2 linked regions of the Oryzias latipes genome follow. The protein of the gene in region 2 interacts with the protein of the main gene of each other region in a biochemical or structural test. Links are inferred from orthologs where the notes say so. Each region holds a gene or a part of one and is shown on either strand. Other genes may lie near its edges.

Region 1 (3,650 bases), on a different chromosome or scaffold from region 2:
TGTATTTATTCTTATCATTTTTAATCAATTTATTTTTATCAAGTATTTTTTATTAACGTTTTTATTAACTGTAACTATACACTGTACCTCAACTTGTGTATTCTTGACACTGTGTATTTGTTTTAAATGTAGTGGGTCTGTGTACTCCTTTTTACTGATTGGAGCATGAGTCTGGAATAAATTCTATCTATCTATCTATCCATCCATCTATCTAAAATGTCGGTCCAGGTACTCCTTAGAAATCCGTCCCGGGTTTCTGGGGCCGTTGTTTCCTGTATCCAGTCCCTTTTACAGGGAGTCCGGTCCAACAGTCTTTCTTGTTTTAGAAGATAAGTTCAGTGTTTTCTTTGAAGAGTTTTTGTTTCTTGGTCCGGTTTGTTGTGCAGCAAATTGGATCCAGGTTTGGAGCAGATGTTTGGTGGATGCTGCATCCAATCGGGCTTCCACTGAAACGATGTCGGTCTTTCAGGTTGTGGAAGCGGGGTTGAGAGTTGGAGCCTCTTTCAGTTACCTCCTCTCTGACTCCCATATCCTCTGTCTTTGTCGTTTTAGGTCTCCTTTTTTCTACAACTGATGGCACTCTAATTAGAGGGCAGGCCTCTCCTCTCTGACCCGCACAGGTGAATTTTGTCAGGGCAATATGCAAACTGTCAGATCGGCAGGACATGGCGCGACCGTCACCTTTATTAACCCATTTCTGGAAAGACGTCCAGCAGCCAATTTGGAACTTGTCGTTTGGTGAGAACGCAGCACATCATGAACCCAATGAGACAGAACCGGTCCTTTAGAAAACACTAACCTCTGAAGCTCTTTGCTGTCTTCTAACAGGGATTCGAGGTGTGCAAAACCAAAGGCCCTGTAGAAACAGTTTCCGTCAGGCCGTGTCTTCCGAATATGAGAGTACTTTTTGTGGAGATCCTGCGACGACATCAAAGGGCGTAATTTTAAAATCTATGCGGCAGTTGGAACATTAGTAAACCGAATGTAAGGAGAGCGAAGACGGAGGCGGAGATGCGTGAGCCCACCGACCTTGATCTTGAGCTGATAAACCATGTCGTCCTCCGCATATTCTTTCTGCAGCACCGACAGCTCCTGTCTCTCCGACACCAGGGGGTTCGTGTTGGCGATCTGCACACTCACACAAACACACATCACAGTTTGTGTTTGCACTGAGAGACTCTCTGCAACTTTTACTACAGGTTTGGATTCACACAAATGCTTTTGTTCTACTGTATTTTTCCGCACCATCAAAGAATGGCCTATTTTAAAACTGTTAAAAACAGTCGCATAGAACAGAAATTGGTGTAGTGGCACCAATGGACCGGTACCGGGCCGCGGGACACTTGGCACCGGGACGCACAGAAAGAAAAAATAATTTCCATTTTATTGCTTTTTTTCGAGAGAAAAAAACGTTTTATTTTGAAAAGTGACCGGATTCTCTCTGTTACATCCGTCACACTTAACGCACGTCAAAGTCGCGACACCAAACATCACGTGATACACCCCGCTAAAATTAAACACAAAAAAACAAAATGAGCAAAAAAACAAACTTCTTTAGAAAGTTGCTTTGACAAGGGGAAACGGTCCAATGAAGGGACAGAAGAGGAACCTGCACCCCCTAAAAGAGGGAAATCTGCCTTTAATAGGCAGCGGTAAACGTGCCTCAAACCCCCCCCCCCGCGGTAAACGTGTCTTGCGTTGTACCGGTCCGCGGTAACAAAAAGGTTGGGGACCACTGCACTAGATGATGCTGCGCTAAAGGGAAGGTCAACGAAAAAGTCAGAAAAGTCAGTTTGTCAAACTTTACGAATAGAATACAAACCAACATTCTGACAGCTCGGTTCACTCCCAAAACAAGTTGGTGCAATCACGATACAGTAACTCTTGAAATAGTGGACAGCCAGAACAATAACTCAACGTTGTCCAGACGTTAATGTCCATATTCGTGTCTTGTCATAAAGGAAAGCACCAAGAAGGGCCGCCTCTAAATTCACTGATGTTCATGTCGCTAGCTAGTTGGGAAGTGTTTTCTCTGTTGTGGGAAGATTTCTCCGCTATCACTTAAAAACTATCTAGAAGTTTTAAACAGCAATTCAGACTCCACGCTGACTATTATTATTATTATGACATCACCGATTTCCAGAAGCAAGAACCTCATAAATAAATATGAACAATTAAAGCCTGTGTCCCACAGCCACTATGTACATTGATATAGCCCGGATGAAAACTGGTCACTGGTGATATAAAAGTTATACAACGGTGGTTCATGCATAAAAAGTATGTTAGACATAAGATAAACAGTCGTTGAAAGACACAGATTTGTGTATGCATCTTGCGAAAATCAAGCACAATTATAGTTTATGTAATAATTGTGTGTACAACAGGCACAAACTGTATAATTCTCAAAATTTTAAACTCAAAACCAAATTCACGTAATGATCCATCAGCTGAAACCCTCGACGGACACCTATGCATATCGACAAACGACGAAGGCGAGAAAGAACAACATTTCATACGAGGAAAATGCTCAAAAAGTACTCGGCTGTGTGACACGACCTTGAAAAAGATTTTAATCCACGGTGATGAAAACATGAACAGTTTATAAAAATAAAATTGAAACATTTTCTCTACAAACAAAGAAGCGTTGCACTGTAGTTTACGTTGGCCAATCTTGTAACATCGATGCCTACTAATTTCTCGTAGAAAGAAATTCCAGGGCACTGAAATTTGGAACTGTACATTCGGAATCCCCCACCAATAAAAAAAGTGGAACGCCCTATATAGTGCATCGAGTAGTGCTTCATGAAGGAATTTGGACACCATCTACATTTGCAAATATACACCACAATGCATTGTGGTTGAATGACTTTTCAAGTGAAAAAAAAAGGATCATTTTCACGATATCAAGCTGTGCAATACGCATATCGCGAAAGTCTGCAGAAATTGCGATTAATGGTTACCTTAAACGTGCACAATGGCAGCTTGAAGTATTTAAAGAATCAAATAAATCCCTTCATGCGTTTGACAATCGATGGACGCATTCACGTTGTTGACCAATCGGATAGACACATTCACGTTGTTGACCAATCGGATAGACACATTCACGTTGTTGACCAATCGGATAGACACATTCACGTTGTTGACCAATTATTTGGACAAATTCACGGTGTTGACCAATAGGATGGACGCATTCACGTTGTTGACCAATCATTCGGATGCATTCACGTTGTTGACCAATCATTTGGACGCATTCACGTTGTTGACCAAAAATTTGGACGCATCCACGTTGTTGACCAATCGGATGGACACATTCACGTTGTTGACCAAGCATTTGGACGCATTCACGTTGTTGACCAATCATTGGCGCATTTACGTTGTTGACCAATCGGATGGACACATTCACGTTGTTGACCAAGCATTTGGACGCATTCACATTGTTGACCAATCGGATGGACACATTCACGTTGTTGACCAAGCATTTGGACGCATTCACGTTGTTGACCAATCATTTGACGCATTCACGTTGTTGACCAATCATTGGACGCATTCACGTTGTTGACCAATCGGATGGACGCATTCACGTTGTTGACCAATCGGATAGAAACATTCACGTTGTTGACCAATTATTTGGACAAATTCACGGTGTTGAC
Region 2 (4,245 bases):
AACCTTGTGAATAAAGACAGGATTAAAAAAACCTGTTTCCTCGTCTGAGCTGGCATCTGGCTAAAAACTGTACCACTAGATAGCTTCAATATTGCTCAACATTTTTGTTGCACTGCTAATGTTAGCTTGGGGCTGTGAGGGACTTTAAGCTAGGGGGAGAACACGTAAACGGGGAGCTCTCAGTAATGGGGGGGGGGGGGGTTGCTCTGCATTAGCAATAGTCATATTTAAAAGACCAGTGAGAATGCTTTGAAAATAGATCAAAAGATGATCAAAGTGGGACTTTAACCACACCAGACACATTTGTGCCTGACCCCAAAAGCTACTTAGCAGGACACGTCAAATTGAACCACTTTTTCACTGTCATGCATACAGTTCATTTCCCGTCAAACTCGTCACATTCAGAACGTCTGAAGAAAATCAGATCAAATCTGAAGCTGGGGTACAAAAGGGAGACTGAATCTGACCGAGTACACTGGTTGTGTGCACACAGATTAGTGCAACAGTTAGATCTTTGCCAAGGTGAGAAAGAGATACCAGTCAAGATGCAGCACTAGGCTTACCCTACAGCATGGCATACTTTGCCGTCCACTCCTGAGCTAGTTTATTGTACCTAACAAAGTGAAATCCACGCACATGGATCAACCAAAAAAGGTGGGATCAGGGTCTTGTCACATGCAAAAGGACGGCTTTTACTCACTTCTGACCATCTGTTTTGTAGATCCGTGCAATCTCTGGCACTAATGGGTCATCGGGGTTTGGGTCACATAGGAGTGAGCAAATGGAGAGAAGAACTACAAGAGAAAAGTTTACGGAAACTCAGTTTGACATCGGAAGGCAAACTTCTTCCACAACATTAAAAGACATTAGTTAATTATTAAACGTCAAACTACAGCTTCCTACCTTTAGAAATAGTAAGTGCAGGAGACCACTGTGATCTGAGAATATCCAGACAGATACTGCCATTACTGTTAATATTTGGGTGGTAAATTCTTGTTGTGAATGCCACCTGAGGGAGAGACGCAACAAAAATCTGAGTTATGCAACGCAGATCCTGCGACAGAACAGGCTGGACCGGCAGATGATGTAAACAGGAAAAAAAAAGAATTACAGTTTCACTTTGTTCCGAAATCAAACGCTTTGTCTAAATCAAAAGGCAGCACCACATCCTGTCTTAACTCATTACTATGGAAACGCACAGAAGACACCCGTCATAGCAGCTCACCTTTGGGGGTTTGAAGGGGTAGTCTGTTGGAAAATGAATTGTCAGGAAGAAAACACCTCCCTGATATGGACTGTCACTCTGCAAGGAGAAGTTTAAACCGAGTTAAGGACTGACAGATCCAAGCATAAACATTTGCCGTTATATGAAGAAAGTGAGACCCCCCCCCCCACCACCATAACATGACGGGAAGGTCAAAATGTACTCACAGGTCCCATGATGGTAGCCTGCCAGTGAAACACTGCAAGGACAAAAATGAAGCATTATAAAGAAGCTTACAGGTCACTGTGACTGTCACAGCCTGCCAGGAACGCTGTTTCCTGTTCACGGCATCCACTAACATATGTGGTTTTCAGATTTACATCAGTGTGTTCGGATCACTTACTGTCATCTCCCACCGGGCCAGCAGAGCACTGAGCTGGGGGGTCACGAGCCAGGTCATTCAGTTCCTGTCAGGAGAGGAGCTTCAGTCAGTCATGAAGATACTAGAGTCTGACGAACGTCAACATCTCCAAACACCGAGTATGTGAGGAACAACGTCCTCCCTGGTTAAGGTTACCCCCATACCCCCTCCCCCGGACGGGCCCGCACAGCCCAGTTTTTATATCCACAGCAAACATACAGCCCGTCCATATAATGTTTATTTTTAGGTGACCGTCTATTTTGGAGCGGATGAGCCGGGCCCCACCCCGGCCTTTCCTCATAGAGGCTTCCAGACACCGGCAAGTTGCGGGCGGCCTGCCGGTTTCCGGGGCTGCCCGGTTCCCATCCGGGCCGGAGTTAACTCAGCCGGGCGCGCACACGCGCGACGAGGCTAATCGTGACGTGGGCCCTGGCCGGCTTGGTCAGGTGTGAATCACGGAGAACCGAACGCAAAAACAACGACCGAGACCGGTCGGCCCTGACAGACGTCAGCCCCAACAGAGAGGTTAGGTCGAAAATCGAAACTGCTAATGATTTAATGATAGCTGGCTGGCTGGCGAGCTGCGCGTCAGCCGGTTGTAACACATTTCTGACACACAAGTATCTGGACTGAAAACTATAACCGCCATCAAGCCGAGCAGAGCTCCACACCTGAACCTCGAAGCGACACTTCCTCGTTAGCCTTGACGGAGAATAGTTAGGGAGGCTAGCATGGAAAGCTAACACCGTTAGCACGCAGTTCCGCCGTTCTCTTACCTTGTGGATCCTTTTAAGGGCCATCCTCCCTCCGTGTTTGGGGTTTTCGTATTGTTGATACAGAAAGTGAGCACAAAGGCGGGCTGTGATGTTCCAGGATGACCGCTTCGATTAGATAATTCACGCTGGCTCAGCTCCACGGCCTGTCTGCTTAAGCTAGCTGATATGATAGCAGGTTAAAACTACGTATGCGGCCAAGACTTCACGAAAACTGGCTACGTTCCTCAGGAACTCCTTTCTTTTGGTTCGGTTCTGAAATATCCGTGTCCCCTCGGGAATTGACTAATTGCGAACGCCAGGTGGATAACCCCGGCCTGATATAATTGCCCCTCTTCAGGTTTCGGTCGATGCTGTTAGCTAACTAGCCGCTGTCCACATACAGATGAAGCTTTATGCCGTGAGGGCGGAGCCAGAATCCTGTGAGGGCGGAGTCAGTCAGTGGGAATGCGCCGTCATCCTGCTGTGAGGGCGTGGTCAGTTCGCCATGAGCGTGAATGAGAAAGCAGAATGAGAAATTATTGTCAACAATTTTATAACTTCCTGTTCATCCCTGCAGTTTTTTACACAAGACTTTTCTCACCTTTGTGTACAGAAATATAGAGTTTAAAATTTATATTTTTAGTGATTTATTGTTAACTATGTAGTTTCTAAAAGCAGCTGTTAAATAAAACTGATTATTAATAAATTAATTCCATTATTTTAACTGGATGACACTATAATCAGAACATCAAATTTTAAAATAAAGGGGCGGAGTCAAAATGGTTACGTCCTTCCTTATTGTAATGAGGATTGTGTGCTTCAGTGTGTTGTTTCATTTTGTGACTTTTCATCCGTTTGTCCCAGACAAATGCTCACCTGCATAAGTTCTCATTACTTCTTCAGGTCTTGCTTTTTTTATATTAGTTCCACTTGTAAATTTTCCTAGAAGTCCTAAATACACTTGGAAGATGAATTCTTACTTTTTCAGCTAAACTCCATGTCAGGAATGACATTCCAGAGTTTACTCTGAAAATATTCTTGAGCGTGAAAACTGTCACCTCTTTTGCTTTAGCAACATATTTCCAGATTAGTTGGGTAGAAACATTTGAACTTTGAAACATGCAGAGTAGAAAATGTCATTCTTTACTGTCCATTTCTGATCAGTTTACACATCATTCTCTTCTAAATATGAGCATCCAATTACAAAAGAGTCACCTATTTGGCTATAATTTTCTTCTGTGACACTACAAATTCAGATCTTTTCTATGGTTGTTTTTTATGGCTTTACCTCTTTCGTCTTCTAGATTTTTTCCATCCTGATTGTCATGTTCAACTTTTTTTCACCATGGATGTTTCAGAAATTGAAATGTGATTCAATAAACCTGGAAAGCTGAGTAGAGGAGGAGCATATGTGGGAAATCAGTCATTCAATTCCTTCAGATCTGTGCTGAAAAATACAAAAAATGTTGATGTGTTCAGATGCAGACCTAGATAATTTTATCTTTACTCTTTCTCTAATATCTTGGTCGTATATCTTTCAATTTCTGCTAGAAAAATTCACCTGCAGCCACTGTGTGTTATGTTTTAATAGGTTAAAAAAATAAACTTGTGGAAAAACATGAATAGTAGGTATGCTGTGTGGCACGTCAAATTAATTACCAAACACTCTATGTAAAATGACGTTGCTTTAAAATATGTTGTTTGTATAAAAAAGCAAATAAATGGCAATGATCTCCAACCGTCTTTATAGAACCCAGCATGGAGAGCATAAAAGCTCCTATCAAACAGTCTTTGAGACCAGACACCCATCTGGAAACATCTCCAGCATGTCCCAAATGAATTTGCTTGAAATTTGAATGTTTGTG

Evidence for each region.
Region 1: the proteins of ubiquitin-conjugating enzyme E2 D2 (region 2) and otub1 form a complex in vitro, tested with the Homo sapiens proteins (4 studies listed by BioGRID, with this or other methods). The link is inferred for Oryzias latipes from reciprocal best matches to the Homo sapiens genes UBE2D2 and OTUB1.

Annotation. Positions count from the first base shown.
Region 1 is NC_019876.2:28,617,437-28,621,086, forward strand, and holds part of otub1 (ubiquitin thioesterase OTUB1), read right to left. Parts: intron 1,129-3,650; coding exon 1,030-1,128; intron 919-1,029; coding exon 800-918; intron 1-799. UniProt on the Homo sapiens protein: Hydrolase that can specifically remove 'Lys-48'-linked conjugated ubiquitin from proteins and plays an important regulatory role at the level of protein turnover by preventing degradation.
Region 2 is NC_019880.2:25,335,737-25,339,981, reverse strand, and holds the start of ubiquitin-conjugating enzyme E2 D2, read right to left. Parts: upstream 2,816-4,245; 5' UTR 2,426-2,815; coding exon 2,402-2,425; intron 1,672-2,401; coding exon 1,608-1,671; intron 1,464-1,607; coding exon 1,432-1,463; intron 1,304-1,431; coding exon 1,226-1,303; intron 1,010-1,225; coding exon 904-1,009; intron 795-903; coding exon 701-794; intron 614-700; coding exon 565-613; 3' UTR 564-564; intron 1-563.